4 linked regions of the Drosophila melanogaster genome follow. The protein of the gene in region 1 binds, or shares a complex with, the protein of each later gene. Each region holds a gene or a part of one and is shown in the gene's direction. Other genes may lie near its edges. The genes, in order: PCID2, Nup98-96, Nup93-1 and Nup205.

What was found.
Region 2: PCID2 (region 1) and Nup98-96 share a complex: the UniProt entries of both Drosophila melanogaster proteins name them as parts of the nuclear pore complex.
Region 3: PCID2 (region 1) and Nup93-1 share a complex: the UniProt entries of both Drosophila melanogaster proteins name them as parts of the nuclear pore complex.
Region 4: PCID2 (region 1) and Nup205 share a complex: the UniProt entries of both Drosophila melanogaster proteins name them as parts of the nuclear pore complex.

The regions. Positions count from the first base shown.
Region 1 is NT_037436.4:11,623,753-11,628,832, forward strand, and holds PCID2 (PCI domain-containing protein 2), read left to right. Parts: upstream 1-2,688; 5' UTR 2,689-2,727; coding exon 2,728-3,915; 3' UTR 3,916-3,963; downstream 3,964-5,080. Other genes in the region: Akr1B (Aldo-keto reductase 1B), read right to left, coding at 362-446, 510-595; CG6083 (uncharacterized protein), read right to left, coding at 974-1,028, 1,099-1,800, 1,865-2,007, 2,164-2,232; Apt1 (Acyl-protein thioesterase 1), read left to right, coding at 4,702-4,749, 4,811-4,842. UniProt on the Drosophila melanogaster protein: Required for the export of nuclear mRNAs and involved in mRNA trafficking in the cytoplasm.
Region 2 is NT_033777.3:23,774,876-23,784,118, reverse strand, and holds the start of Nup98-96 (nucleoporin 98-96kD), read left to right. Parts: upstream 1-2,497; 5' UTR 2,498-2,954; coding exon 2,955-3,234; intron 3,235-3,294; coding exon 3,295-5,832; intron 5,833-5,911; coding exon 5,912-6,430; intron 6,431-6,498; coding exon 6,499-6,681; coding exon of another isoform or gene 6,682-6,701; exon of another isoform or gene 6,702-6,903; intron 6,904-7,011; coding exon 7,012-7,187; intron 7,188-7,243; coding exon 7,244-7,526; intron 7,527-7,585; coding exon 7,586-8,597; intron 8,598-8,654; coding exon 8,655-9,064; intron 9,065-9,128; coding exon 9,129-9,243. Other genes in the region: mbc (myoblast city), read right to left, coding at 1,731-1,779. UniProt on the Drosophila melanogaster protein: Part of the nuclear pore complex (NPC). Required for MAD import as part of the Nup107-160 complex and required for nuclear export of Moe probably via its association with Rae1. Plays a role in nuclear mRNA export.
Region 3 is NC_004354.4:13,820,531-13,827,210, forward strand, and holds Nup93-1 (nucleoporin 93kD-1), read left to right. Parts: upstream 1-2,295; 5' UTR 2,296-2,396; coding exon 2,397-2,557; intron 2,558-2,620; coding exon 2,621-2,801; intron 2,802-2,880; coding exon 2,881-3,684; intron 3,685-3,757; coding exon 3,758-4,386; intron 4,387-4,470; coding exon 4,471-5,167; 3' UTR 5,168-5,380; downstream 5,381-6,680. Other genes in the region: Clic (chloride intracellular channel), read right to left, coding at 1,395-1,478; jub (ajuba LIM protein), read right to left, coding at 5,940-6,187, 6,257-6,422, 6,513-6,575. UniProt on the Drosophila melanogaster protein: Required for nuclear pore complex assembly, maintenance and function. Required for nuclear import of phosphorylated Mad via importin msk. Has no role in classical nuclear localization signal (cNLS)-dependent nuclear import via importin-beta.
Region 4 is NC_004354.4:19,849,601-19,858,881, forward strand, and holds the start of Nup205 (nucleoporin 205kD), read left to right. Parts: upstream 1-2,613; 5' UTR 2,614-2,747; coding exon 2,748-2,969; intron 2,970-3,048; coding exon 3,049-3,372; intron 3,373-3,459; coding exon 3,460-3,561; intron 3,562-3,651; coding exon 3,652-4,214; intron 4,215-4,278; coding exon 4,279-4,779; intron 4,780-4,835; coding exon 4,836-6,387; intron 6,388-6,487; coding exon 6,488-7,872; intron 7,873-7,935; coding exon 7,936-8,988; intron 8,989-9,062; coding exon 9,063-9,220; intron 9,221-9,281. Other genes in the region: pico, read right to left, coding at 1,263-1,412. UniProt on the Drosophila melanogaster protein: Plays a role in the nuclear pore complex (NPC) assembly and maintenance, but with limited role in NPC permeability. Required for specific nuclear import pathways such as Mad import.

The DNA.
Region 1 (5,080 bases):
AAGCTTGTTCGAAATTCTAAAAAGCTTTCGGAGGACAGGGCTGCATAGTCGACAAGCCGAACAGCTGAGCGATCGTCAGTTACGCTTAAATATCGAGTGCTGATATACTCTCTATATAGCATAAAAGAAAATATATATTAAACTAAATCAATTAAAACATTTAATGATTTCAATAAATGATACTAAAATGTATCATTTTACATATGTTATGATCGCTATAAAATTTCAAAAGCCCTTCAACCATATAGGCTCTTTATGATCGCTATGTAAAAATTTTTATATCCATATCTTCGTAAAAATATGATTATTTATCAAAACTATGGCATAGATATGAAAAAACAGACATTGTCATAATATTTACATTGAAAGTTCCGAGCCCAATTACTGGAATCTCATTTCCGTCCAAGCAAACCACCTTGGGAGCTCTAGCATACTCCTTCTGACACCTACAATATTTGTGGAAATTATACTTTTGATGCTTTGTTCGATTTGATTTTCCTATATATTACCACATAAATCGCTCTGGTTTCCCATAATTCCTCAACGTAATGCGAAAAACAGGCCTAACCAATTGAATTTTCATTAGAGTGTTCATTTTGCACGCCAGTAAATTTTAATTATTTGTGTAGAGACTTCTTGACGGATGGAATGCAATGGCTACTTGGTTTTAGTATTGAAGCCTAAATGAAAAATAGCAAAATAAATGTGTATATAAAAATAAACAGCCACATTTTAAATACAGCTTAAAATGCCCACCAACTCAAAGGCTACAATTCGATTTTACACACAGCAAAACAGTTTAATTATATTATATTATTATATTGTATAACAATAATTATGCTAGACTTCTCAGTATAAAGGAAGTACCTGGACATCATCAGTATAACTCTGCAGATCGCCGCATACAATCTTACTTATCACATTAAAGGCAATCAGTTTAAATAACTACTTGTACTTCTAATATTAATTAATATTAATTATCTACTTTGGCTTTGGGTTCAAATGGATGATGAGGATGTCCATAGGCCCTAGGAGAAAAATAGAAAGATTCGAGATATTTCAAGTTAAAACCTAGGAAATGAAAAGAGCAACACCTACGCCTTCATGGTCATAAAACGCCCATTGCAGTCCAATTCGTTAATGGCCTGTATGTCATCGACGGCCAACTCAAAGTCCCAGATTCGCTTAAAGTTGTCCAACATGTGCTGTTTGCTTACTGATCTTGGGATGACAATTATACCCGATTGTGTCTGAAAGCGTAGGAGCACCTGTGCCGCAGTCCTTTCGTATTTCTCAGCTATAGCCAAGATGGTCGGATGCTGGAGCAGTGGATAAGCGCCGGGCTTCTCGTAGGGCGTATGTCCCGATCCCAGGCAGCTGTAGGCGGTCACAGCAATGGCATTGTCATAGCACAGCGTAATCAATGGCTTCTGACTAAGGTACGGGTGGCACTCGATTTGAAGAACTACCGGTTTAAGCTTGGCCACACTGAGAAGTCTATTCATCTGCTGCTCATTGAAGTTAGACACACCGATGGCCTGGCACAGACCCTCGTCCACCAGATTCTCCATTGCACGCCACGTGTCCACATAGTCGATGTCCTCGAATGCGGCCTTATTGGTGTCCGGACACGTGGGATATAGGTTGTCACTGCCCGACTTGTAGGCCATGGGCCAGTGCATCAGGTAGAGGTTTAGGTACTTGACTCCCAAGTTCCTTATGCTTGTCTCACATGCCGGGCGCACCAAATCCGGCTTGTGGTGTGTGTTCCAAAGTTTGCTCGTGATGAAGAGTTCATCTCTGCAGTGCAATATGTATTTATGGCTTAGATAAACGATTGATTAGGCCTGAAAGCAGCACTTACCGTGTGACCACTCCCTCGTCCATTTTCTCCCGGAGAGCAGCTCCCACTTGCGCCTCATTGCCATAGATATGAGCGCAGTCAAAATGGCGATAGCCTATATCAATAGCATCCTTTACTGCTTGGGTCACCACTTCCGGCGGGCTCTAAAATGGCGAATAAAACGTAAAAAGCTGAGGTGCATCAAAAGCTTTTGCTTGACCCCGAAGAGCTTTGACATTGACCGTGAAATATGCAGTGGAAATGCACATTTCAGCTGGCTATTATTTAATAACAATATATATCTATGTAAAAGTACTTACCCGCCAAGTTCCGAGACCCAACATAGGCATATTTTTACCATTGCTCAAGAGAAAATTCGGTGTCGACATGTTTGAATCCTTTTGCTCCTTGTGAAATATGTTGTTGCACTGGCTTCGTTTTTGGAAAGCTTTAATTTGTAATTTACTAAGTGAACTATACTCAAAGGCCTATTAAACTGGCTAGAAACAGCATGTCTTGTGACAGCTCTGCTATCACAACTATATGTACGAAAATTGTTTAAATTTAGAATCTTTTGGGCAAGCAAAAGACCTTCGCGGAATATAATCGATTCGCTGCAGAGGGAAATTTTAAAATTTAAAACAAAAAACTCTTTTTCTGCGTTCAGAGTTTTATTTTATAAACCGAGTATAATGTAAATAAATACCTTTTTTTAATAAAATAAAATAAAATGTTAAAAAAAAAACTTTTGAAAAAATATTCTTTGTATTATCGCGTTATAAAAAACAAAGACAATCGATAGAAGTTTCCGATGAAAACATCGCATTCGCAGATAGTGCCTGACCTACCATCTCTAATTTTGCCGCCTGCGAAAAACACAAACAATGTTCGGCACCGTAAATAACTATTTATCCGGCGTTTTGCACGCCGCCCAGGATTTAGATGGCGAGTCCTTGGCCACGTATCTCTCCTTACGAGACGTGCACGTTCAGAACCACAATTTGTACATTGCCCAGCCGGAAAAGTTGGTGGATCGATTCCTGAAACCGCCACTGGACGAAGTTGTGTCCGCCCACCTGAAGGTGCTGTATCACCTGGCACAGGAGCCTCCTGGTTACATGGAAGCCTACACCCAACAGTCGGCAGCCTGCGGAGCCGTTGTGAGGCTTTTGCAGCAGCTGAAGGACGAGAATTGGTGCCTGCCACTAATGTACCGCGTGTGCCTGGATCTAAGGTACTTGGCGCAGGCCTGCGAGAAGCATTGTCAAGGATTCACACCTGGCCACGTATTGGAGAAGGCTGCCGACTGCATAATGGCCTGTTTCCGCGTTTGTGCCGCTGATGGACGAGCTTCAGAGGAGGACACCAAGCGTCTGGGCATGATGAACCTCGTAAACCAGCTATTCAAGATTTATTTTCGAATCAACAAGTTGCATCTGTGCAAGCCCCTTATCCGTGCCATCGATAATTGCATCTTCAAGGATTCTTTTCCGCTGCCGGAGCAAATTACCTACAAGTATTTTGTAGGTAGACGGGCTATGTTCGACTCCAACTACCAGGCAGCCGTACAGTATCTGTCGTATGCCTTTAGCAACTGCCCGGATCGGTTTGCCAGCAACAAGAGGCTCATCCTCATCTATTTGGTGCCAGTGAAGATGCTGCTGGGATATCTGCCCAGCAAATCCTTACTGCAGCGCTACGATCTCCTGCTGTTTCTCGATCTGGCTATGGCCATGAAGGCTGGCAATGTGAATCGCTTTGATGAGATTGTCAGGGACCAGGAGCTGGTGCTGATCAGGAGTGGTATCTATCTGCTGGTGGAGAAGCTCAAGTTCCTCGTGTATCGCAACCTGTTCAAGAAGGTGTTCGTCATCCGGAAATCGCATCAGTTGGACATGGGTGACTTCCTCTCCGCCTTGCATTTCGTTGGCTTAACCGATGTTTCTCTGGACGAGACGCACTGCATCGTGGCCAATCTCATTTACGATGGAAAGATTAAGGGGTACATCTCACATGCTCACAACAAACTGGTCGTGTCGAAGCAAAATCCATTCCCCTCAGTGTCCCTTTAGTGCATTTTGTAATTATTGTGAATTTTTAAGAGTAAAAGAATCCAATTTAATCAGTGTATTAGTTTACTGGATGGGGCATGTGAATGGAGGGCACCAACGATGAGTATAAGACCTGAAGACTTTGAATTTAAAGTACCTTCAATTCTATTTGGTTATAATTTTGTTTGGTTTTTCGAAACCTATATGTTTCAAATCAACTTATGAACTAATAATATAATTTTTGGTTATAAATATGTTTATTTTTCAACGGTTTTAAACTAATACCACTTTTTAAACTTAATCGAACTTTGGAATTGATATATATCGATTTTTGTGCTCGAACCGATGTATCGACAGCGGAATCGGTTTCGGTCACATCTCTAGGTCCACCGACTATCACTCATCTCTGAACTTTTTGGAACGCAGCTGCATGAATTGTCGTAGTTGAGCGAATTTAAACAAATTAACACAATACTTGTGGTATTACCTGGTAAATGATTAGAGCCTCATTCGCGCAAAGTGTACATAAGACAAGTGGCGAAGATTAGATCTAGTTAGCTAGTAACCATTTCTCAGCCGGCGACGTGTTGTCATTTTCGCAATCGTAAAATCAATATTACTAATTTTGCTTTGCGTTTACAACGTGACATAACTAAAACGCAAACTACAAAGTGTTTCTTTTTCACTGCATTGCAGAAATCCGCTGACACCGAAAAAAGCGACGAAAGCAGCGCCAAGTCGCCGAATCGCAGAGTACCTGGAATAGGAATAGTGCGTCCCCAGTAGAGGCTAAACTGAACAGCAGACATGGCTGCGCCGGTCATTGTCGAGGCCACGGTCAAGCAAACCGCCACGGTGAGTAGTCCGCCGTAGTCCAAATTCCGGAAGCCCTCGACTAATCACTTGTGTATTGCAGCTGATCTTCATGCACGGCCTGGGTGATACGGGGTAAGTGGGGTCATCCTCATTCAAAATAATGCTCCCAAAGACTTCATTCACAAAATATTGAAGTATGCGAAACAGAAATATTTGCACATATGAAATTAAAAGGATTTTAACGCTTCAGTTCCTATGGGAAAAAAAAACAATTTATAAGCGCTTAGGGTGTTCTAGATTCAAGTAACTGATGAGAAGCCTTCAGAGTATTCCCCAGTTAAGCTCATTATGTATATCCCATACCATTTTA
Region 2 (9,243 bases), on another chromosome or scaffold:
GGAAGTTAATTAGCTTTTATGAGTAAACATCCCTTCATTTTGTGGCTATTCGCTTGGTTTACTTTTATATATATTTCAGGTAAATTTCAGGAATCATCCCACTGTGCATGGAGGTGAGTGAGCAGGGAGATGCAGCATTCTCATCCAAAGGAGTGAGTGGGAACAGCATACGAAAAATATGTATGTATGCACCAGATCTTTTATATGCGAGTGACTACCGCTATGCAGGAGGCCGAGGACTTAACTTTAACTCGCTCACTCACTCGCACTTCAACGGAATTCAATTCAGCTGAGTGCCACCCACAAGCACAGGCACACATCGATAAACGATAACTCGAATGGGGCCCATAAAGTGATAAAGCGATTACTCAATGGCTATTGCCTTCGAGAAACTACAATATTTCGAAAATAATACGCAAAATGGATGAGCTGCCAAGCAAATCTTTTGGCTTAAAAAATTTTTACAAAATGTGGGGCAACCGGCTGTTTGCTTAGAATTTGAAAATTGAAGCAAACAAAAGGTATGCAAACAGAATGGAAAACAGCGATAAGACAAGAATACATCAAACTGCTATTGATAAGGAGTTTCTTTTGAATTTCGTATATGCTGTAAGTCGTTTTCGCATTACAAAGGCCAAATTCGCTACTCAATGCCAACGACTAACTTATCTGCCGCCCCATATTCCAAATATTATCGCGCTTAATTACATTATACCACCAACCACCGCTCACCACCCACTACCCCCGTCCACCTGGCCACGCCCCAATGGTACTATCAGATACTCGTACTCGCAGCGATTTCGACAGCTAGTAAACGCGCAAACACAAAAAAGGGCAGAGGCAGAGGCAAACGTGTGTAAATAACAAGTGCAAACACACCGGCAAGCTCCATTCGAGTGTTAACGAACGAGATTCCCAGTTCCACTCGATCTACCTGGGACTAGAGGTACCTGTACTTTATGTACCTGTCGTATCTATTGATCAGCGGTGAAAAGGTCAACAAAACGAGATCCATAAAAAATTCACACGCATTCGAAGCGGGTCGCGATTAGATATTTCATGGTCACTGCCATTGAATTGGGATTTGTCTCACAGTGTACACAGAAAATAAACATTTCTACTGTCAGCTTGATGCAGCTTGCCTTGGGTTTACAAAGACCAGGTTTCAAATCCCACACCCGTAAATACGTAAAAGTTGTAGTACTAATGTTGTAGTACTTCAGATTTAAGTTTATGTAAAATTACATTAATTGTATAAAATTTCTTTATGTGTACCAGGCCTTTTTTCTGGCAGTGTGTTGCAGTTGCACGTGAGAGACAGAGACAGTATGAAAAGCGAGAGAGACAATAGAAAACAGGTTTTAGTTTCAAGAGCAAATCTCAGAATTTTATGCTAGTGTTGACTGAGCAGGATGAAATGAAATGAAAAACGAAACAACACAGTGAGAGCGGGAAAGGGAGGATCAACAGCAGCCGAGTGAGCGTGTGCAAGCGAGAAGGTGCAACAAGTTTTACCGTAGCAACGCAGCAGGAGGCACACACATGCGGTGAAATAAGAGAGAGAGTTAGAGAGAGAGGTGGGGGTGGAGATGAGGTGTGCTCTGGAAAAGAGCGCCCAACAGTTCATAAAGTTTTCCTTTATTGTTGTTTACAAAGCACTTTGTTTAAACATTCCTGCCTAGCCATATTCTACCTAATTTATCGGCTTAATAGCCGCATTGCCAACTTACCAATGCCGAATTCTGCCTGCTTGGCATTGCAGTCGCTCCACACACTCATCTTGAAGGCTTTTCTTCTCGTTGTTGTTGCTTCTACTAGTGTTGTTGCTGATATTGTTGTTTTTGCGCCGACTTTTACCACCAACACGGCGACAAACGATCGCTACTCACACATGCAAAGCGATGGACTTTCGTTTGCGAAAATAAAAACAACAAGACATTAAATTAGGCAACGGCAAAAGAGCAACACGTAGTTGAAATTTTGATTTCGTTTTCACAATGCCGCCAACACAAGCATTTCGCCTCCGATTTCGCTACAGATTTCGACGAAAAGCACACCGGTTGGACAATTGCAACCAATAAATAATTATTGCACAAAAGCTAGCATTCCGCACAAATTGTCGCTCCGCAAATGCATTTTGCGCCGTTTTTCGCTCGTTTTGTTCTCGACTTGTATTTGGGCTGGGAGTTGGCCGCTGCCGCTCAGCTAATTATCACATGTACACGCACTCGATCGCACACACACTCGTGTGTGACAGTTGCCAATTAATTAAATAACCGCTCTCGGAAAACAACCCGCGCGTTTCAACTGTTTGTTGTGAATGAGCGTGCTCGATGCCCAGAAGTACCGTACTGTTCCCAATCGAAAATATCAAATATAGAGTGCCCCTTACAGCGTGTTCACACCGTTGATGTCAAATGGGTTTTCACTTTGTTCGCAGTACGGTCACATAAAAATGTGAAAATCGAGCTTACCTACAAAATACGAGAAACCCAAGTTATAAAATACATTTTCCACACATTCATAGTAAATTTGCTTCGGAGGCACCAAGCAAAAATTTTATTAAGACCATAAATAAGTTATGGTCAATAGTTATGCGCCTGGCAGTTGTATCCTGCTTTTTTACAGTGTATTTTTGCATGCGATTTCACGCCTTGGTCACACTTTTGGCTGCATTTTCTTCAACATCGTGAAAAAATCGGCGCGCCATTTCTGTCCACTTTTTGCGTCAGACTCGGTCGACTCCTGCTGACTTGACAAATTCGCGAGTGTTTATTTGTTTTAAGCTAAGCCTGTCCGGTCCCACAACCTTCGCATCCGGCGCAGCCGCCCCAGCTTGCCCAACGTGGTGAAATCGAAGCATTGCTCATCGCGATAGTTGGCATTCCGGCGAAGGACAAAGCAGGGGATCTACCTAGTATATGTTTGTTATCTGAGCAGCAGCAGCGAGCAAAATGTTTGGCGGCGCGAAACCCAGCTTCGGAGCCACTCCGGCGGCCACCAGCTTTGGCGGATTCAGCGGCACCACAACAACCACTCCGTTTGGCCAGTCGGCATTTGGCAAACCCGCCGCACCGGCCTTTGGAAACACCTCCACCTTTGCCGCCCAACCCGCGCAGCAGTCACTGTTCGGTGCGGCAGCCACACCAGCTCAGCCCGCCGGAGGCTTATTCGGGGCAAACACGTCCACGGGATTTGGAAGCACTGCCACAGCTCAGCCCACGGCTTTTGGAGGTTAGACACGATCATTTGAAGTGGTATCATGTTACTAATTTAGTAATTTCTTCTTTGCAGCCTTCTCGCAGCCGCAACAGACCTCGAACATATTTGGATCCACCCAGACGGCGGCAAGCACCTCCCTCTTTGGACAATCGACGCTACCCGCCTTTGGAGCCGCCAAGCCGACTATGACGGCCTTTGGGCAAACAGCTGCTGCTCAGCCCACGGGCTCTTTGTTTGGCCAACCGGCTGCCGCCACCAGTACAACAGGATTCGGAGGCTTTGGGACGTCGGCGCCTACAACCACCAATGTTTTTGGCAGTGGCACCGCCTCCGCCTTTGCCCAACCTCAGGCTACGGCCGTGGGAGCTTCCGGAGTCAATACGGGCACGGCCGTGGCCAAGTACCAGCCAACCATTGGTACAGATACCCTGATGAAGAGCGGTCAGGCAAATAGTGTGAACACTAAGCAGCACTGCATCACGGCTATGAAGGAGTTCGAGGGCAAATCTCTGGAGGAGCTCCGCCTGGAAGACTATATGTGCGGGCGCAAGGGTCCACAGGCTGGGAATGCTCCGGGAGCTTTTGGATTTGGAGCTCAGGTTACTCAGCCCGCTCAGCCTGCAAGTGGTGGCCTGTTTGGAAGCACTGCCCAACCAAGCACAGGTCTGTTTGGCCAAACTGTGACCGAGAATAAGAGCATGTTTGGCACCACCGCTTTTGGCCAACAACCGGCGACTAACAATGCATTCGGAGCAGCAACCCAGCAAAACAACTTTCTGCAAAAGCCCTTTGGAGCCACCACCACCACTCCGTTTGCCGCTCCCGCAGCTGACGCTTCAAATCCATTTGGGGCGAAGCCTGCTTTTGGACAGGGAGGAAGCCTCTTTGGTCAGGCACCTGCTACCAGTGCGGCTCCTGCTTTCGGACAGACTAACACAGGATTCGGAGGCTTTGGAACCACAGCCGGAGCAACGCAACAGTCAACTCTTTTTGGTGCCACACCAGCCGCCGATCCAAATAAATCAGCCTTTGGGTTGGGAACGGCTGCATCAGCAGCCACGACAGGTTTTGGATTTGGAGCTCCAGCAACAAGCACCGCCGGCGGAGGCCTTTTCGGAAACAAGCCCGCCACTAGCTTTGCTGCTCCAACTTTCGGCGCAACCTCCACGGCTAGCACTCCGTTTTCAAATTTTGGCCTGAACACCAGTACAGCAGCAACGGGAGGAGGCCTTTTTAACTCGGGATTGAACAAGCCAGCAACGTCCGGATTCGGAGGTTTTGGAGCCACCAGCGCAGCACCACTTAATTTCAACGCAGGCAACACGGGCGGATCACTTTTCGGAAATACAGCCAAGCCGGGAGGAGGTCTTTTTGGAGGAGGTACTACAACCTTGGGTGGCACGGGTGCTGCCCCAACGGGAGGACTGTTTGGAGGAGGAACTACCAGTTTCGGAGGTGTCGGTGGTTCCTTGGGCGGAGGAGGCTTCGGTATGGGTACAAACAACTCGTTAACTGGTGGTATTATGGGAGCTCAGCCCACACTGGGTATCATGACGCCTTCACACCAGCCCATTCATCAGCAGATCCTAGCTAGGGTAACTTCTCCCTACGGAGACTCTCCGATTTTCAAGGATCTAAAGCTAAGCAGTGAAGCAGATGCAACAAGAGCTACAAATCCTGCTGCCCAACAAGCAGTTCTGGACCTGACCAGCAACCAGTACAAGATAAGTACCAGCAACAATCCTGCTCCAATGAAGGTAAAGGCGCTGGGCAGCACACTTAATAGAAAATCGCTGTTTGATGGTCTCGAGGAGTTTGATGCTTCTGTAGAGGGCTTCAATCTGAAGCCCAGTGCTAAACGATTAGTTATCAAACCCAAAGTAAAAAGTGTAGAGGGTGGAAATCCCTCTAGCTCTATTGGCAGTGCTCCCAACACGCCCCAATCTCGACCCAAAGGCGCAACTCCCAACAAAGAACGCGAGTCGTTTAGCGGAGCCATTCCAAGTGAGCCGCTACCACCAGCTGGAAACTCGCCTGGAGCAACGAATGGACGGGAAAGTCAGGATAACGGCCGCCGTGAGTCATGGCTGCATCCTAACAACCTTGAGAAGGTACGCCAGCACAACATTCAGACTGGAATGGATCAGGGATCGCCCCATAACAGCACCCTCAACGAGCTTGTGCCACGTAAACCTTTAGATACATACCGACCATCCTCCACCGTTCGCCTCTCGGTGTCAACCATCCCAGAGAATCCATTTGAGGATCAATCCAGCACCATTGCACGTCGCGAAACCTTCACTTCGCAGCAGGCCAATGAGAGTGTGCTTTCGAACAGATCTAATGAGGCAGAGGACTCTGCAGCAAACCAATCCCGCCTAGCCATTGAGGCAGCTGCTGCAGAGGCAGCAGACGACGAATCACATCCAACAGGCATTGTGCTGCGACGCGTGGGTTACTATACAATTCCATCGCTAGACGACCTACGCTCCTATCTGGCCGAGGACGGATCCTGTGTGGTTCCGAACTTTACGGTGGGTCGGGAAGGATACGGCAATGTCTTCTTCGGCAAGGAAATGGATGTGGCTGGCCTGAACCTCGATGAGATTGGTAAGAGTCTTGTGTTTTTTTATAACCGTTTGTGTTTGCTCTCATACATTTATTTAATGCAAAACAATTTGTATCACAGTCCACTTTCGCAACAAGGAGATTATCATTTATCCCGACGACGAAAACAAGCCGCCCATTGGTCAAGGTCTAAACCGTGACGCCCAGGTCACTTTGGACCAAGTATGGCCGTTGGACAAGACCAAGCACGAAGCCATCAAGGACCCACAACGCTTGCTTGAGATGGACTGGGAGGGCAAGTTGCGCCGGGTGTGCGATAAAAACGATACGCGCTTTATAGAATACCGCCCGGAAACGGGTAGTTGGGTCTTCCGCGTCAAGCACTTTTCTAAATATGGCCTGGGAGACAGCGACGAAGAGGACGAGTTGCCCACTGACCCGAAAAAAGCCAAAATTGCAACGCTTGAGGCTCAGCAGCGGGCAAACGCAGAAAAGATGACGCTCAATTCGCTGCGCCAAGCGCAGAAGATTTCAGAAGATGCAGCCCGTAACTTGGACCCAAAAGCCTTGGTCGCAGGTGTTGCCAGCGGATTCAGGCCAATGGATGATACCGCCGAGTTCCTTTTAATGGACAAAACACGTACGTCTAAAGTCCATTTTAAAAGGTTTAGTTTCATTAATTGTAATTTACTTAATTTTAATTCGCAGAATTTTTCCAAGCTGGTGGCAACTCCGATTTCTCCATGTTTGATCCACCGCGTCAACGTCCAACGATTACCAGTCCCACAGCTGTTTTGGCTCAGGAAATGGTAGGCAACGAGGCGCACAAAATGCAGCTAATGAAGTCATCCTTCTTTGTGGAGGACAATGCTCCCGAGGACGAACCCATGGGTAGGTGGATAATCTCTTGATGGTCTTTCAAATTGCTTACAGTAAAAGATATGTAGATGTTTAAATGTTAATCGTTAGTTTTGAGCAAATATGTATTGTTAATTATCAACGATATTTAATGATTTTTGATCGTTGCAAAAAGTATTATATATATATATTTATGTTTAAAAAGGTAGCACAAATTATAAAGTTAATAAAGCTTTCAAATGTGTTAGTAAATCCAATTCATTTTGCCTGCTTTGGCAACAATTCATTATAATTACAACAATTCACTGCTTATCATCCCACACGGCCACTATACATTTGAAAATTACTCATAAATTTCTACAGAGACTACGGGGCGTCTTCTTCGTCATCGCAAGTTTTTCAACGTGGAACCTCTTGTTTGGAAAGATGGTGCCTCCGAGAGTTCCAGTCAGTACGATTTTGAACACCCATCGCCCGCTCTGCCGATTTCTTCCTCCGTCTCTGAGGCCAGCCTGATGTGTGATGCACATTATGAGGAGGTATATCGACGTAACCTTTTACTTTGAAGCCCAATAAACATCCTGATCAATTTCAGACATCGTCGATGGCAACTGGAAGCATTGTTGCAGCTGTAAAAGAAACGAAGTTTGAAATGCCTGTCACTAAAGCCTTCAAGTTTGTCTGTAAGCCCAAAGTGGCTCCGATTAAGTTGCGTGCCACCACGGTTCCCCTACCCAGGTCCATCGCTTATGAGATGCGCGATAATTGGATCGCCGATTTGGGATTCTACAAAGGACGCAGCTTTAAGCTCAGTTTTGGTCCACAAAACTCATTGGTACTGCCAAGCACCTATAATAACATGCAAAACCTAAAAGAATGTAAGAATATCTGAAACAAGCTGTAGCAGTCCAATTATAATAATTTCCCTTTGCTTCAGTTACTGGACCATCCCTGCCCGTCTCCATGGTATTTGCGCCGCGCTCGGCCACCGATTTGTCGCCCAGTGTAATGCAGTTGGTGGAGTTTAACATGGTCAAAGGCAACGAGGGTTTTCGAGAAAGTATCATTCCCCATCTCGAAGTTCAGCTTAACGACTGCCTCTCAGTTAATGTGGAGGGTAGTGAGTGCCCGTGTATACATCCCGATAGCGGTACGAAACTAGTTTCCAAGCACTTCTCCGAGTCTCTTAAGCAGAGAAATGCTGGCTTAAAAGAGGACTATAGCGTGTCAGTGTGGTCGCTTTTATTCGCACTATGGGGCGATCACGATGAACTGGTGGACCTGGAAAAGAACTCTCATTACATGGTCATGTGTCGGCGCAATCTGCTATCCGAGTGGCTTGAGAACACGCTGCTGGGCAAAGATCTACTCTCGAAAAAAGTTAGCACCCACAGCTACCTGGAGCACATGTTGGATTTACTTAGCTGCCATCGCGTAAATGAGGCTTGTGAGCTGGCCTTCAGCTACGATGATGCTAATCTGGCTCTTGTGCTGTCCCAATTAAGTTCCGGAGCTGTCTTCCGGCTATTAATGGAGGAGCAGCTCTTTGCCTGGCAGCAGAGCAAGTCGGATAAGTATATCGATCTGGAGCGCCTTAAGATGTACATGCTGGCCGCCGGAGCGCCAATGATGCAGTCTTCACATGGGGCCATCAACTTACTCGAGAATAAAAACTGGCTGACAGCACTGGCCCTGCAGCTATGGTATTTCACAGCCCCAACATCGTCTATCACCGATGCACTCAATGCTTATAACGACGCCTTCCAAGCGGAAGAGTGCTATGCGGAGCCCCCAAAGCCCAGCTACAGGGACGCACCTACTGACACCAAGAAGCCCGTCTACGATTTGCGCTACCACTTGCTCCAGTTACACTCTAAACGTATGCATTCCCTGGAAGAAACTCTCAATCCTATAACGCATACCGCCGATGCCATGGACTTTCGTTTGAGGTGAGCTAAAAGAATTTTTTGGTACAGTGCAAAATAAATCATATCAAATCATTTTAGCTGGCTGCTCTTGCAAACTCTGCGAGCTCTTGGCTACCGTCACTGTTCGCCCTTAACGGAGGCTCGTCTTTCGGTGGATTTCGCTAGCCAGTTGGAGAACGAAGGCCTCTGGCAGTGGGGTATCTTTGTTCTTTTGCATATTAAGCAGCAGACCCAGAGGGAACGTGCAGTTCAGCAAATGCTACAGAGGAATGTCAGCGTTTCCGCCAAGGTGGCTCTATATGCGGAAGAGCGCTTTATCGTCGAAGAGCTTGGTATTCCGATGTCGTGGGTGGACTATGCGAAGGCGGTAAAGGCGGGAGCGTCAGGAAAGCATCACCTTCAAGCCAAATATCTGCTAAAGGCAAAACATTTTGCTACGGCGCACGATGTCATCTTCCAACACATTGCTCCTGATGCCATCATAAACGGTTGGTTCCTTATGATAAGAATTATTTCGGTGGATTACTAACAATTGTCATTGCAAACTTGCAGGTAAAATGAAATACCTGCATAGCCTGCTCATTCAATTCGAGGATACAGAGGGCAGCAGCATCCGAGTGCCCAACTGGGCCAACCAGGGCCAGATCTTCCTGGACTTTATCGACAT
Region 3 (6,680 bases), on another chromosome or scaffold:
AGTGTTCCGAAAACAATTACAATTACTTCGGCAAACAGTGGGAACCAACAAAAGAAACAAAATTAAGTGGACTCATGCTCGACTTACAATTCCGGGGAAAGAAATAGATTGCGGCCTCTACTATAATACAAAAAAAAAAACCAAAGGGTTCGTAATCTTTCTTTGACTCATTTTGCAATAATATCACCTTTAAGAAAGATGCCAATGAACAATTGTTTTATCACATGTTTTTTTTTCCACTATCGAAGAACAGAACTGATAAGAAAAGCGTTGTATTCGAGGAGAAAAAATCGAACAAGTTTTTATTATCGATTATTTGTAATACATAAAGAAATAAAACACTACATATTGAGCAATCTAAAGTTAAGTTCTATGATTTAAATTCATTTAATTAATCACACTTTAGGAATCTTGGCTTCTCAATGCTATTATCTTGACCGCAAATGTGCGGAGTGCTAGCTTTTTGTTTTCTTCGATTCTTTGGAGGAGCATGACGTATGTGTCAAGAAATTTAGAAATCACTAAAAGATAAAAAAGAACCTCTAATTCACACACACACACACAGAGAGAAACATGCTGATGGTTGCGAAGGGGGGCGATGCGGGGGGCTTAGGAGAACTATGATGAAGGAGCATTTGTTGAGCAATTGGCGCAATGAAATGTGATTAAATTTTTTAGCAGATAAGAACCGAAGTAATATGTTACGTTCCACAAATTTCAGACTGTGCGCACACAGCAATATCATGATTAATTGTTAATTATAAAATATTAAAAAGATATTTCATATGAACAGCTTGGTATGCTCGGATAATTTGGAAAAAGGGCGGCTTTAGAGTATTGCACCAAAAAGGTATGCTGTAATATTTAATTTGGATGCTTTATAATGGTAATCATGGAGTTCTGAAAATCATAACTCAATCAACAATTTCGTTCTGTGCAGATGTGCCCGAATGCATGTGTATGCGATAGTGTGCGTGCGTGTGTGTGTATGTGTGTGTGTATGTGTGTGTGAATGTGCGATAGGGAGAAAAGGAGAAAACCGGTTTTGGCGATGCTTAGGAACCGCAAGGCGAAAGGGGAACGTCGGCGAGAGGGGAGGGGGCGGTGTGTGCTAAACGTATTCTGTTCGTTTTAACCAAATGTGACACACTGCAAAGTGCCACAGTGAGAAGAAGAAGAAGAAGACAACGAAGAACGAACAGGGGTAAGAAGCCGAAAAGAGGGAGGAGGAGGAGAAACAAACGGCAGTTCGCGTTTTCCCAGTCGCTTCTTGTTTTTGCCTTTGTTTGCATTTGCTTCTGCTTTTGCCCCGGCTGCATTTTCACTCTGCACGGAAATTTGCGCAGAGCGAAATGGAAAACTGCAGGGGTATGCAAATGTCGCTGTTCGCTCACCTTTATGATCAATTCTATCTCGGGCACATCGAATTTACTGCTGCCGTTCGTCTCCTGGCTCTGCTGCGATTCAACTTCCGACATTGCGATATTGTTATTATTTTTATCGTTTATTCTCGATATCTCTGATCAGATCGAAGAGTTTTTTTCTTTATCCGCGTGACGAGGTGCGTGCGTGTTCGTTTCCTTTTCGCTTTTGTTGTGCTAATTTCCTTTGCCAATACACACACTCACGTACACAAGCTGTAACACACACAGGCAGCACACTCACACACACACAGAGAGACGGAGGGAAGAAGAAGCTCGCCTCGCAGTGTTTAAAAAAAATATGCCGTTCTGTTCTACGATTTGCGCGCTGCTAAAGTCTATTCACGATTGAATTGGTTAGCCGCTGAATAAACCAATCTGCACTGCGCGAAATACACTAACGCCTGCTGTTCAGTGTTACCAGACGGTCCTGCCTTTCGGCCGGCCTATAAATACCAAGCTAATACCAAATGTTTTTAAAGTTGTACTTACAACTCCCTCTCAATAACAGTTGTTATTGGGACATTTCAATAACAGATTGCGTAATACCAAAAATACCTTATACCTACAAAACTCCCATTTGTTCTCAATTTATTCCCCAATATATCGATATTCCATAAAAATTTTGAAATTTCGCGTTCGGGGAAATCGACTATTTTCTTTGTTTTTATAACAACTTTTAGGTATTGAGAAATAATTTCTTAGTCTGCTATCTATATAAATTTTTCAATTTAATGATTTTAATTATCAAATATTCCTTTTAAATTATATACCATCTGTAGACATTATTATAGTTATTCTAACATATAACAGTTGTACTATTAAATATACCAAAAAGAATACCACCGATTGCAAACATTTTATGGCGCCGAAATAATCCGGACTGCGACCAGGTGGCAGCACTAGCAGCTTGGTGTGCGCTTCGTTGGAAATATCATTTTATTGGCACCGGCTTTTCCATCCCAATATCACGACATGGATCTGATGGAACTGCTGAAGCAGGCCCAGCGCCTGACGAACGAGACCAATACGGACACGGAGGTGCCGGGCGTGGAACGGACCATGTCCCAGGTTCTGCAGGCAACCAAGGAGTTTCACTCGCGTGTCACCCAAATGGGCACCAATGATCTGCAGGCGTGAGTAGTTCGCTATAGGCCAGGCGCCAAAAATTGTCATATTAACCGGTCATTCAAATGCAGCCACATACTGCTCGGCTCTAAGGGCGTGGACCTGCCCAAGCTTACACAGAAGCTGGAGTCGCTCAGCGCCCGCCAAACCTTCGAGCCGATTGATCCGGTGACGGAGACCAATGTGCAGGCCTATCTGAAGAACGAGCGGGAGAACGCCATACTCTCAGTTATCGATGAGACGAATCGCAGTGTGAGTGCGCCAAATGACATGCTTCAGGCAGACACCCAAAATTCTGAACTTTCTATCTCCATTAACCAATCCATTGCAGATATTTAAATCTGTGGAGCGACAGAAGTGGCGTTGCATCTACTCGGAGTGGGGCGAGGAGAAGGAAGCGCTGCTAAACGCTCTGGTCGGACCAAACCAACAGGACTTCCCCGACGTCCAGTTTCAGATAGTGCCCACGGCCATGGCTGATGAGCCCACTCCGTACTCCCAACTGAATGGCCATGAGCAGATGTACGCTGAACAGATCGCCATCCACAACCAGTCGATCATCCTGGGCAGACGCCCTAACTTGCTGTCGACCCTTGCCCACGTGGTCCAAGACTCCTTCAACGATGAGTCCGTAGCCGAGATGTGGAATGTATTGCAGTTTATGACCGCGTTGCCGCCAGTCTCGAGCACCATCGATCCAATCAAGAATCGTCAGACATCACCGCAATTCGTTGAGCAGGCCCGCACGTACTTGGAGCGCAGATATAGGACGTATATGAGAAAGTTTATCGTCGCGAATTTGGCCAAAGCGCGGCGGGGAGGAATCCCCAGCGTGTACCATATGGTCCGCTCCTATGTGGGCGTTACTCTCCAGGGGCAGCGAGCCCTCTACGGGCTGCATGACGTGAACAATGGCCAGCCATTGTGGCCACATGTTTACTATAGCTTGCGGAGTGGCGATATGGACGCGGCTGCGTTGTATCTCAAGGAATCGGGAACCTGCCCCGACCTGCTTACGCTATTGACGTTGCGAAAGAACGGCGATAGGGACAACTTGATGGTAAAGCTTGAGGGTCAGCTAAAGTTGGAGTACAACAGTAGACTGCGCGCCTGTACGGATCCCTACAAAAAGGCGGTGAGTGCTCATCTTTTGCTACAACTTGTTGCGTATATTCGTGCTAATCATATGTTTTTCTCTTTTCCATTAGGTATACGTCGTATTGTTGGCGTGTGATCCGCACTTCACTCACGTAGAACTAATGCGCAGCATCGACGACTTCCTGTGGATGCAACTGTCCATTCTGCGCAGGTCGGACCAAAGCGACAGCAACACGGAGCAGCTAACGTTCAGCGGCCTGCAATCGCTCATTTTAGAAAAGTACGGCGAGAACTACTTCAATGCGCGCGAGAAGGCGGCGCTATACTTCCAGGTGCTGACGCTTACCGGCCAATTTGAGGCCGCCATTGAATTCCTCGCCCGCACCGAGAAAAATCGAACGCACGCTATCCACATGGCCATTGCCCTAAACGAGATATCCATGCTGGGAACACCACGTTCCGTGGAACAATCCCTTCTGAGCTCCGACCCTGACGACCCAAAACCAATGAAACGACTCAATCTTGTGCGTCTGATCGTCATGTACACCAAGTGCTTTGAGAGAACGGACACCACGCAGGCGCTGCATTACTATTACCTGTTGCGCAACTTTAAATCCGAGAACGGACGCGGCAACGTGATGCTCACCTGCGTCTGCGATCTGCTAGTTGAGAAATGCGACGACGAAATGCTAGAGCTGATTTTCGGGACGGAGGATAAGAAAAACGGCTTGCGCTATGGGTATGTTACGTTTTTGGTACTCTTAAAAGATTTCAAAATCCTTTTGGCAAATAGCTAATGGTTTATTCATTCCCCTTTATTTAGCGGCATATATGCGGAATTTCAAATTCATGAATGCGATAAGTACTCTCTGGCCGAAATGGTGGGCGATGAGTTGTCGAAACGCGGCGACTACGAATTGGCCATCGAGCTCTACTTTATTGGTGGCCAGCTGGACAAGGCACTGCGTTTGGTGAACTCGCTACTGGCACAGGTGGTCCACCAACCAACGCAGAATGGAAGCGTGCGTAACCGGCTGGGCGATATTATCAATCGACTAGATGCGGCGCTGGTCGTGCGTAAATCGGACGTAGAGGTTCAAGTTGTTGTCACATATACGGTGCTGACAAAGGTCATGAAGTTCTTTGACCACTATCACGAAGGCGCATTGCGTTCGGCATTAGAAATCCTGACCAACAATCATCTGATACCCGCCAGCTCATTGGAAGTGGACGAGTGTGTGACGAACATAAAGCGGATGGGTCCCGAGGTCATTAAAGTGCTGCCCGATATCCTGCTGGCGTCCATGGACATTGTATACCAGGAGTATGTGAAGCTAATGGACTCGAATGAAACAGCTTCCGGTTTCTTTGATGAAAGCAAGTGCGTCAATAAGGAGCCCGCCGTGAAACATTTGCGAGACAGGGCCAAGGCATTCACCAACATGGCTGCCAGCGTTCCATACCGAATGCCATCGACCACCAACCAGCGGCTCGTCCAGCTGGAGATCCTTATGCACTAACATTAGCCAGATTAATACCTAGTTATCGTTTATATGCATTTCATTCAGTTCGTTTAAAATTTTATTGATGATTATATTTTTTTCTTTCCAATAATTTTATTGGAATTTTTCTGTTAAGCGCAACGCATTTAAAGCATTAAGCATTCGAAAAATTTAAAAGAAAATATTTTGTATGTATGTGTTATAAGAAAACTAAACAAAATTCAAAATGTCACACGTATATGTTAATTACTCACGGTTTAGGCAAACAATTAAAATTTTGCATTTTCGCTACTTAATAACCGAATGTATGGTATGTATCACAACAAGCCACTAACCCACTGGAATATCCACAAAAGACTTTCAGATAAGAAGTATTAAGTATTTTATTGCATAATTTGAGACACCGTTTGCTATTGCATTGAAACCTCAAGAGGTCTCAGGAACACCCCAGGACATACATATGAAGAACACATCAATATACTTGTATCAAAATAGTATTGCCAACAATGGCTGCCAACTGTCGGAGATTTTAGGAATCCATTACATAGTTTCTAACAGATCCGTTTCGAGATCCTAGTACACTGCCATAAAAATGAAGAAAAAAAAAAGCCATTAGCTTGGCCCTCGTTTCGTATAAATGCATTTGTTTTCACTTCTGTCTATTTAAGATAATATTGTTAATTGGAATAAGTTGATTGCGATAGTTTGTTCTGGTTTTGTGCGCCACTCAGTCGAAGGTCGGAAGGTCGGTCTGCGCCGCGCCGCCTCTCCCAGCCACACTCCGTTCCGCTTATCCCATATACTGGTACGAAGCGCAGACGGGCTCCTGATGACGAGCGTGTGGCGAGGATTGCAGCGCCAGACGTTGCAGGTGGCAACCGCGGCAGAGCAGGCGCCCGTCCAGCGGGTAACAGCGTTTGTCCGGCTCATCGGTCAGCTGCATGCCGCACTCCTCGCAGATGTAGCAGTCCACGTGGAAGTCCTTGTCCATCGAGACGACGCGCACAGTTTCGTCGGTGCCCTCGACGGGTGTGATGCCTGCCGAGAATTGCCGACGATTGCGAGATTAGCATTGACGTATTATTCGGAATGAAGTTGTGAACCCACCTTTGCCGCAGCTAGCGCACTTGGGCGCAAACATTCGATGGTAGTCGTTGACGCAGTAGATCTTGTGGTCCACGTCCACGGTGAAGGGCACCCCGTCTAAGCACTCATTGCACACACAGCACCGGAAGCAGCCCGGATGATACGACTTGCCCATGGCCTGCAAGATCTGCAAGAGGGAAAGAGCGAGAGCGACGTCAATGTGAGTACAAGTTGCCCAATTAGAGTGGGATAGAAACGAATGGGGTGCAGTACGAACCATTTCCATGATCAGATGGCCACAGATGGCGCACTTTTCCGCCGTCTGCTGGAAGCCCGAGTACTGCAAGAGTGAATTCTTATTATTATTAATTAATGGCGTTGAAATCATAACAAAGCAAATGAAAAGGTAATTGCGTCAGTAACCAAAAATAACGATTTATAATCA
Region 4 (9,281 bases), on another chromosome or scaffold:
CGACTGACAACAAACAGGGCTTACTTGCAAAGATATAAAGTATATATATATATATAAAACTGGAGGACTGTGGATAACTATTATTTTAAACATTTGGACTTAAGGGAATTCCAATTGTTAAACCATTTTTAAAAATAACAATTTTAAAGGTTAATTTCCTTTGTACCAAATGTATCTCTAATATATGTAAGATATACTTCAACTGAAATTACATCTATTGAGACCAGCCAAGCGATGTTCAAACATTGTTTAAATATATAGTTCACTTATAAACAAAATGTTTTTGTTGGATCTGATTATTATCTCGTCCAAATGGAGCCTTTGTTTTAACTGTTTGTTACCATTCTGATCCAGAAACTAATCGACCTTCCTGGTTGGGGTTGTGCCACAAACTGCTGGGAAGTGAAGTGGCTTAGGGGAGCGGGGCGACGCCCGCTGTTGCGGCAAAACAAAGGGGCAGCAACAACATCGCGTTTGTTGCTGTTGCCGCATGGTATCGCACATCGCCTTTGACTTTTTTCGTGTGGAATCGGGTTTTCTTCCGCCGCCCGCGCATAAACAAATCGAGAACCTCAGAGGCGAAAAACGAAAAACAGAACCACAACGATCGGGAACTCTTTTCAGCGTTTATGCACGGTGAAAGTAATGGGGCAAGAACGGAGAAAGAGGCGCAAGAGAGAGCGAAAAAGTTAGTACACCAATTAATGGGTCGGCATTCTGTTGGACTTGAAAGCATTGAGCACTTTTTGTGGTCGTTTTTGCCCCAGCAGCTGGTCCAAAGATTAATCATTCCGCTCTCTGCGTTTGCTTTTATTAATTCTCCTTTGACCCATCGAATGGGGGGAGTGGTAAAGTTTTAAGTTTCTATATTATCAAACTATAGGAAACTATATCCATGATACTAGTTGGGCAGTCTCAACTTTGGAGTACCGAATTTGAAGTCTTTTGATCACCTAGCACTGCATAACTAGGTTATTTTCATAGCCAAGGAGTAAAGTATACTGAATACACTCGAAAAAAAAAACACTAATAGAGAATTATAGTTAATACAATTACCAACCATATGTGAGTCTACCATTTGCACCGTTCTTACTATAATTTGAAGAAGCTGTACTTTAAAGGTATAGTTCAGTTTCTTCCTGTGTACTCTGTCCTATGACTTCTTTTTTTTTTGTGTGTGGGAGCGAATTATGAAGTACAGAGGAAATGGTCGAGCAACACAAACGCACACACACATTTGGAGAAACTTGGGAGATACTTACATTTGTTATTGTTGCTGCTTCCTCGAGGCTGTGCTGTTGTTGTTGCCGCTGCTGCTGGTGGTGTTGTTGTTGTAGCTGTTGCTGGAGTAAGTGCAGTTGTTGCTGTTGTAGTTGTTGTTGCTGATGTGCCGCAATACCACCACAATCCATAGTAATTACGGGTGCGAGGGGGCGGGGTTAAGTGTGTGTGGGAGTGGAGTGGAGTCGTCAATTGGGAGCGCACTCTCTATCTCTCTCTCTCTCTCTCCAAATCTCGCTCTCTGTATTGCTGCTCCTTCGCGCGATCGCTTACTGCAGCGGAATGAAAAGCGAAACAGACATAATTGAAGAAATGCGATAGCTCTCCGTCTTGAATTTCAACGATTCGCCGTAAGGGAGCGCTGTTAACCGCTATTTCAGTCACTGTTTGTGTCTTGTTCCTTTTTTTTATTTTTTTTTATTTTCAGCTAACTCTGCAGTTTGCCTTTGTCCATATTTTCGGTGGAAAAACCACTTCCTTGCTCTCTCGCTCTGGCTCCCTTGCTCTTCTATACCGCTCTCTCTCTCGCTCGCCAGGCGTTGCGTGGGCGAACGTAGGGGAGAGAGCAAGCGAAACGAAAAGAGAGAGGCGAACGCAGTTTGGAGTTTTATGCACTGGAGTTGTGAGTATGTTCGTGTGTGCCTGTGTGACTGCTACCCCCACACACTTGCACTGCCTCTCTTCCTCTCTGTCGCTCTCGCACACCCAGTACCAAGTACTCTGAACTCCAACTCCAGTTACAAATTCAATTCCAATTCGAATAATTCCCAATGAAATTTGAATTTTCCTTCCAATTGCACTGGCTTTGGCAGTTAGTATCCCTTTTGGCATTTATTGCAGCCGAACTGCGCCGATTGCATTTGCATTTACACTTCTACATCCACTTCCACATCCACTTGCATCGACAGCCAGAACCAGCATCCCACTATGGTGCAGTTCAGCCTGCCCGCGGCCATCGGTGATTCACTCACAATGCGAACAGGACACCACTTGGGCAGTGCGTTCGCTGGCCAAATCAAGTGGCGGAGAACAGAAAAAAAAAAAAACGCGAATCGGAACAAAACAAATGGATGCTACTATCGGGTAACTACGAAAAGTCCGTGCGTAGATTTTCACGAAAACGCCCCGCCCGCGCCGCACTGAAGTTGTGTTAGTTAGTGGTGCGACAACGCACCGATGCAGCGCCTCGATTATCGTTCGATAAGCATCGATTTTCCGATTGACTTGGTTCGAATCAACCGTTTAGCCAGCGCAGCAACCGCAGTTAGCGGGCACAAGCACCGAAGCGCGTACGAGCGTGGTGAGTTCGTACGGTGGTGAACATCTGTGTTTTCCAGTATTTGCAGCACCCAGCCCTGGTAACCGGCGCCTTGTCGCAAAGCGAAGCAATCTTGCCGCGTTTTATAGTCAATAACTGCGAATCAGCAAGAACTGCGTGAACTGAGCGAACCGCAAAACCAAGTGAAATGGATGGTGAGTGCCTGGCCAACGAGCAGATGTGCGTGGGTCGCCAAATCACTAATGCCACCCATGCGTCCACAGCTGTAATCGAGGACATGTGGACGCCGTACAAGCATTTGTACAACACTTTTCAGACCGCGGTGTCCAATCGCAGTGGCTTCACCTCGGATCTGGAGCAGTGCCTCAAGAAGTACAAGCACAACTTCAGCAACTTGCTGCGCAATCCGGTGGGTATAGCAAAACAAGCGCTTGCAGATCCGTAGATTTAACTAATTATTGATAATCCATTATTGAAAATGTCGGCAGCCGAGAAGCGAGAAGAGCCGCAATCTCCTACGAAATGCCCTCAACGAAGGCGTCCCGATGCAGGGGCATTCGCGAAAGACAAAGATGTCACAGGACCTGGCCGACGAGGCGGTCATTCTGTCCGACATGTTCGATCTGGACGAGGGTTTCGCCGTGGAGCTGCTGTGCACCGCACAGCGCCAGCAGAAGCATCATCCCGGCCTGTCCAGAGGCCTTGTCGCGGTGCTGCTCTACTACGATGGACGAAAGGCCATCAGCTGCACGCTTCGCGACATGTTCCAGGTGGTTAGCGGCGTCTCGTGGAACACCGAACTGCCCAAGGAGGTAAGTTTCGAGATTTCGACATCGCAGGCATCGCAGTGCCGCTGAAAGAGAGATTCACTGACCCTGATTATCGTTCTACGCACGCAGATCACCGGTCTGGTCACTAACTATGCCGAGAGCCTTGTCGACGGCTCTGGGATACTGGGACGCCTGCTGCAGCTGCTCGAGGAGATGGATGTCGACAAGGAGGTGGGTTTGTATGCGCCTGTTTCTGAAATTCTCTGAAATTGCATATCTTCCTTCGCAAATTGTTATTCATTTGTTGTCCAACGTTCGCAGTGCGCTATGCTGACCACAAACCGCGCGTTTGGCTCCAAGAAGCATCAGAACCAGGTGCTCGGCCTATACGAGGACATTCAACAGGCATTGGCAATGGCCCTGTTCAATTGGTCGGCACAACGCGGCCTGCCGCGACACATTGCCATTCGGCTGATGCACCAATTGGCCAACCGAAAGAACCACGACGCGGGCGGCAACATGGACGACGTGACCCTGATCATGCTGATGGCTCTGCTGTATGCGTACGATACCTCCATGCTGCTGGTCACCGAGGAACCCAATGAGCACACAACCCGACTTCCGATCTTCAGCGATCGCGAGTTCGCCGAGTGCTTCCTGGAGGAGCTGTACGCGCAGAGCAGCTGGCAAGCACCGCGCCTGAATGCCATCATTGCCTACAGCTTCGGACTAACGCTGGCCAGCCTGCGGCATGCACCTTTGCAGCTTCAGGCCACCGCCATCTCGATCATCAATCGCGATGAGATGCTCATCGACGAGGCACTGGGAGCGCAGGTATTCGTCTTCTTCCACAGCTTGCTGCTCGAGAAGGATCTGGTCTATAGGTGAGTACTGACAACTGAAGTGTCAATTGCCGATTCGCAAGCTAATCATCATTTGTGCTGACAGCACGCAGTTCTTCTACCGCCGCGTCCATCTGCTCATCACGGACTTCATCGACTTCATGAACTCCAAGGTGTCGGAGCTGCGCGGCCGAGCAGACGAGTCGTCACACACGATCATCAGCTTCCTAAACGAGGGTCTGGAACCGCCGCCCAACTTGGACTCCAACTTTGAGCTGCTCATGCTGTGCGTGGCCAAGATGCACGGCGATCCGCGCGTCACCATCAGGCTGTGCAACGAGTACTGGGGCCCCGGCGATCCCAACGGCTCTACGGCATTCAAGAACACCTCGCGCTCGGTGTCGCTGTTCAAGTTCATTAGCTTGGCCAGCGACCTGCTGCCACAGACGCTGTTCAAGGCCTACCTCAAGATGATATCCGGACTTACACGGACCGATTTCTCGGCTCGATGCGCCTTCAACATGCTTAGGGTGCCCCAGATGGCCACCGGCGGCAAGTATGCGGTTAGCTGGGATCACTTCTTCACCACCCTGGGCAACTACTATACGTAAGTGTGACTCAAATCTGGTATTGAAGATCTCTCTGAAGATCACTATCTTCTAGTTCGATGCGCAACGACTTTAACACCAACATCGGCATGAGCGGCGAGACCATTTACCGCACCCGATCGACACCAAAGGCCATTACGCAGCGAGAGGCGGAGCATCTGGTGGCCGTAATGGGCATCATACAGGCGGTGGCGGAACACGACGAGGTCTCGCGCATCATGATCTGTGACCATCCCAATTGGCAGACGCCGCAGGTGCTCCTGGGCCTGGTTGCGTGCGCCACGCCGCTTTTTTTGAAGGCGGAGATTCTGCACACGCTGGCTGCCCTGGCCAAATCGAAGGAGACGGCGCGCGTCATCTGGTTCCACCTGGAGGCCTCGCAGATTATACCCACTGTGCCCGTGTCTAGAAGCTATGCCCAGTGCAGTTTGTTGGAGGAGATGGAACAAATCGAGAGCCGTTCGGAGCAGTATAACCTGACGCGCGGCATCCTCCAATTGCTCTACACACTGATGACCACCAATCTGCCGAAGAGTTTGGGCGCCGGGCAACGGACACCGGCCTACGAAGGCTATCTAAAGTCCATGATAAATTCGGTGTTGCTCAAGTTTTACAATCGCGCGTACAAGGTTCCCTCCGAGAAGTGGCAAGTTGGCGCCCAGTGCCTGAAACTGCTCTACTACCTACTGGCCACCTATCGGCCGTCCGCAATGGATTTTCTGGAGACAGTCGATGAACCTCCCTATCCGGGCTTTCACGTTATGATGCAGCTGCAGCTGAAGTCCGAAATGTTGCAGCTGCTGCTGTGCATTGTGGAGGAGGTGCGTGAGCGGCTGGACAACTACAATCGCTTTCAGGGCAAGAAGCTACTCGAGGAGTGCTCATTGTACGCACTGCTGATCCTGGAAGCCGCATTGGCGAAACAGAACGCCTTCTTTGAGGCCCACTCGGCGGCCAATTGCCCCATTTTGCTGTCGGGCCTGAATCGCATGCTCCTGGATCTGAATCCACGCAGTCGCAAGCCCGATCACGTGCTGAATATCATTAAGTATGTAACCTATAATAGCTGGCTGCCGCGGCACGCCCTGGCCGCCATTAAGATTCTGGCTTCGGTCACCCAGCTGCCGAATGTCTCCACCCAGATTCTCAGCATGTACGGTCAGGGCAGCAATGAGAAGCTCGAGATTCGTCAGGGTTTCGTCGAGTGCCTGGAAATGGAGGTGTGCGTGGGCAAGCACGACGACGATTTGTTGGACCAACTGGCCCTCAACAATCACGTTCCGTATCTGGGATTCGGCGATGATCTGGACAATGAGCGAGAGATGAGCGGGGAACGCGAATATTCAACTATTGAATCGCAACTGGAGCTGCAGGCGGGGGATGGCGCGCTGGAGAGCAAACCGGCTAGCATTGAGCTGCAACTGAAAGAGGCCATTATCAAGCTGTTCGAGATGAATCTTAGCCAGCAGTTGCCCAACTTTGTGTACTTCCTGCTCGGCGTGGATGTGCTGCGCGAATTTATGGCCAACGGACGGCAGCACCTGGCCATCGAGATGCAAAGCTCGTGCGTGAACTCCGTAGTGCTGTTGCTGGAAAAGTACATGGATGTGAGTTGAAAGCCATTGGCCATTACTATCTATTCTAACTAACTAACTAACTAACTAACTTACCAACTTTTAACAATCAAATCAATCTCTGATATTGCAGAAACAGCGTCACAGCGATAAGTACTGCGAGCACACGGCGAGAATCGTGGAGCGCATTTACCATCTGTTCCATGGACTCTGCGCCAATCGCCGCACCGCGGAGACGATACTGCGCTACTTCCGGCTAACGTGCAGCGACTTCCTGCTGCGTCACCTACGCTCGCTGCCCTTCCGGCAGCATCGCGAGGATCATGTGCTGCACGCCATGGGCCACCTGCTCAACTGCGTCTCTATCGATGTCAAACTGGCGGCCAAACATGGCCAGATGACGCGCTTCAACCAGATGTGCGACATTTTGCTAATTGGAAACGGAATGGAGCGTTCATCCCATGGCCTGTCGATGGAATTGGGCCACAGCCTGATTTCACAGCCGTCGTCGTCTTTCCTCGCCATGGATGTGCTACCGGCCGGTGGATCGATAAGTGCCGTGGCACATGGGGCTGGTTCGGCGTCTCTCGGAGCTCCAAACACTGGGGTCAAATCACTTAAGCCATCGCTGCTGCAGGAGACATCGCAGGGACTGCATGTCACCCGACTGCTAGATATTCTCGTCCTGGAGGCGGGCACGTTGAGCCAGCCGCAGCTGGAGTTCTTCGACGGGCATCTGATCACTCAACTGCTGCGCGACTGCGAGGCATCCGCCGAAGCTGGCGCCAATTCCAGGGCCAACTTGATCAACGTGCGCAAACTGTACTACATTCTCACCGACGAGCTGTACATGGTGCAGAGCATCATTGCCAGCGGCCAGCGGAAGGCCATTTCCACGGAAATCATGCTGCTGCTCAATCACGCCGTCAACATAAATCGCGTGCGGACACAGCGCTGCGCCACGCTGGCCTTCATGGCAGCATGGGGTCAACTGGTGCAGGTGCTCTTTAGCAACATGCCCGATGCCGTGCTTCCGGCGACGCAGCGTCGCCAGCACATCATCGATATCGTCGAGAAGGTACTCATCAAGGTGCAGCCCATACAGCCCATCATCGAGATATCCGTACAGGTGAGCGAGACGGTGCTGCTGCTGCTTGCCAATTTGCGCTACTGCTGCTACCAGGCCGAGGACCAGAGCCCCGAGGATCTGGCCGCCGAGGATTCGCTCAGCAATGGCAATGGCAACGCCATCGGCAACGATTCGCAGGTGAACGCATTGTGTCTGGGCCAGAGGGCAATCGGAACTGGTTCGGATGGCGGCAGTGGAGGTGGACGGGATATCGGTTCCGGTGGCAACAGCAGCAATCTGCGATTCATTCTCAAGAACCTCGTCCAGTGGATCATGATCAGTGAGGTGAAGTCGCAGAAGCTGCGCATCAATCTGTACAGTTCGCTGCTGAATTGCCTGCGGATCGCGAAGCGACTGCGCACCGACGAGCATCTGGAGTACCAGGAGACGTAAGTGTATCCTTCTCAACAGCAGTAGCAGGCAGTTGTAGCTTTCATTCTATTTCATTGCAGATTGATTTCGCGCCAGGAGAGTGCACGCACGTACAACAAGGAGCAGCGGCGCGACGATCGCCTGCGGCTGAAGGCCATGGCGGCGGAAGTGATTGGCACGTTCGGCGAGAAGCTGATCGACACCATCTGCCACGATGCGGTGACCGGCCACGATGTGTGCCGCATGCTGGCGCTGGCCTGCCTGGACATGATCTCCGAGCTGCAGGCGGTGAGCACGCTATGCGACTTTGTGGCATCGCGTGGCTACCTCAAGCACATACTGGAAAGCCTTGATCAGTCCAGTACGGCGCTTTGCGGGATTCTGCAGCCCGTGCCGGATCACCTGAGGCCGCTCTACGTCTACGAGTCGCGCATGGCCTTCCTCACGCGCATGGCGAACAGCAATGTGGGAGCCCGGCTCCTCCTCACCGAGCAGGCGCTGGGCGTGCTTTCGAATATGAAGGTCTATGACCAGCAGCCCGACCTGAAGTCCAGCGAACTGAATCGTAACGAGCCGCAGACCTTCCTCCCGTCCATCGATGACCGCTTCCGGTCGATCCTCCTGCCGGCGCTGAGCCTCTGCGATGCCATTGTCAACTCGCTGGGTCCGCGCAACAACTCCGCCGCCGTGCAGGTGCTTAACTTTCTGTTCGCCCACATCGACATGGTCGAGGCCATGTTGCGCTCGGCCACGCCGTATATGGACCTCGGCCACCTGCAGCAGGTGGCGGTCATTAGCAATCTGTTTGCCCGCGCCTCCACGCACGAGTTGACCGCGCTGGAGGATAGCGTGCAGCTGGATTTGCGAAATCGCCTGGGCCGCGTGCAGCAGCTGATGATCGTGGTGTTCGGACGCTTTTGCGTAAGCGAGCCCACCATTCGTCGCATGCTGCAGCAGGATGAGGAGCAGCAGACCAACCCCACCGATGACTCGAAGAGGCTACGTGTCAAGTATTTTCTGGATATAGCAGCCAACGTGTCGCTCTACTGCCGCAACGTGGTCACCAGCCATTCGAAGGACAGCATGACCTCCAAATACTTGCTGACCACCGTGATCAATGATGTAACGCTGCTGTAAGTCCATCGCCCATTATATTTAATTGTATAGCCATCGATTATTAATAGCATCGATTTAATTCTCCTTGAAGCACTGGCAAAATGTCCAGCAAAAAGCTGACGACCATCATGCACACCATCCTCAATCAGCTGAAGGGCTCCATCGGCTACTACCTTTCGCAGAAGTCGATCGCCGACAATCTCCTCCAGCAACGCGCCTCCCTGCCCAACATCAGCTTTGGGCCCAACGGTAAGTTCTCCTTGATTTTGGCATTTAGCATTTAGCATTGATGCATTCCACATTTGGCTGA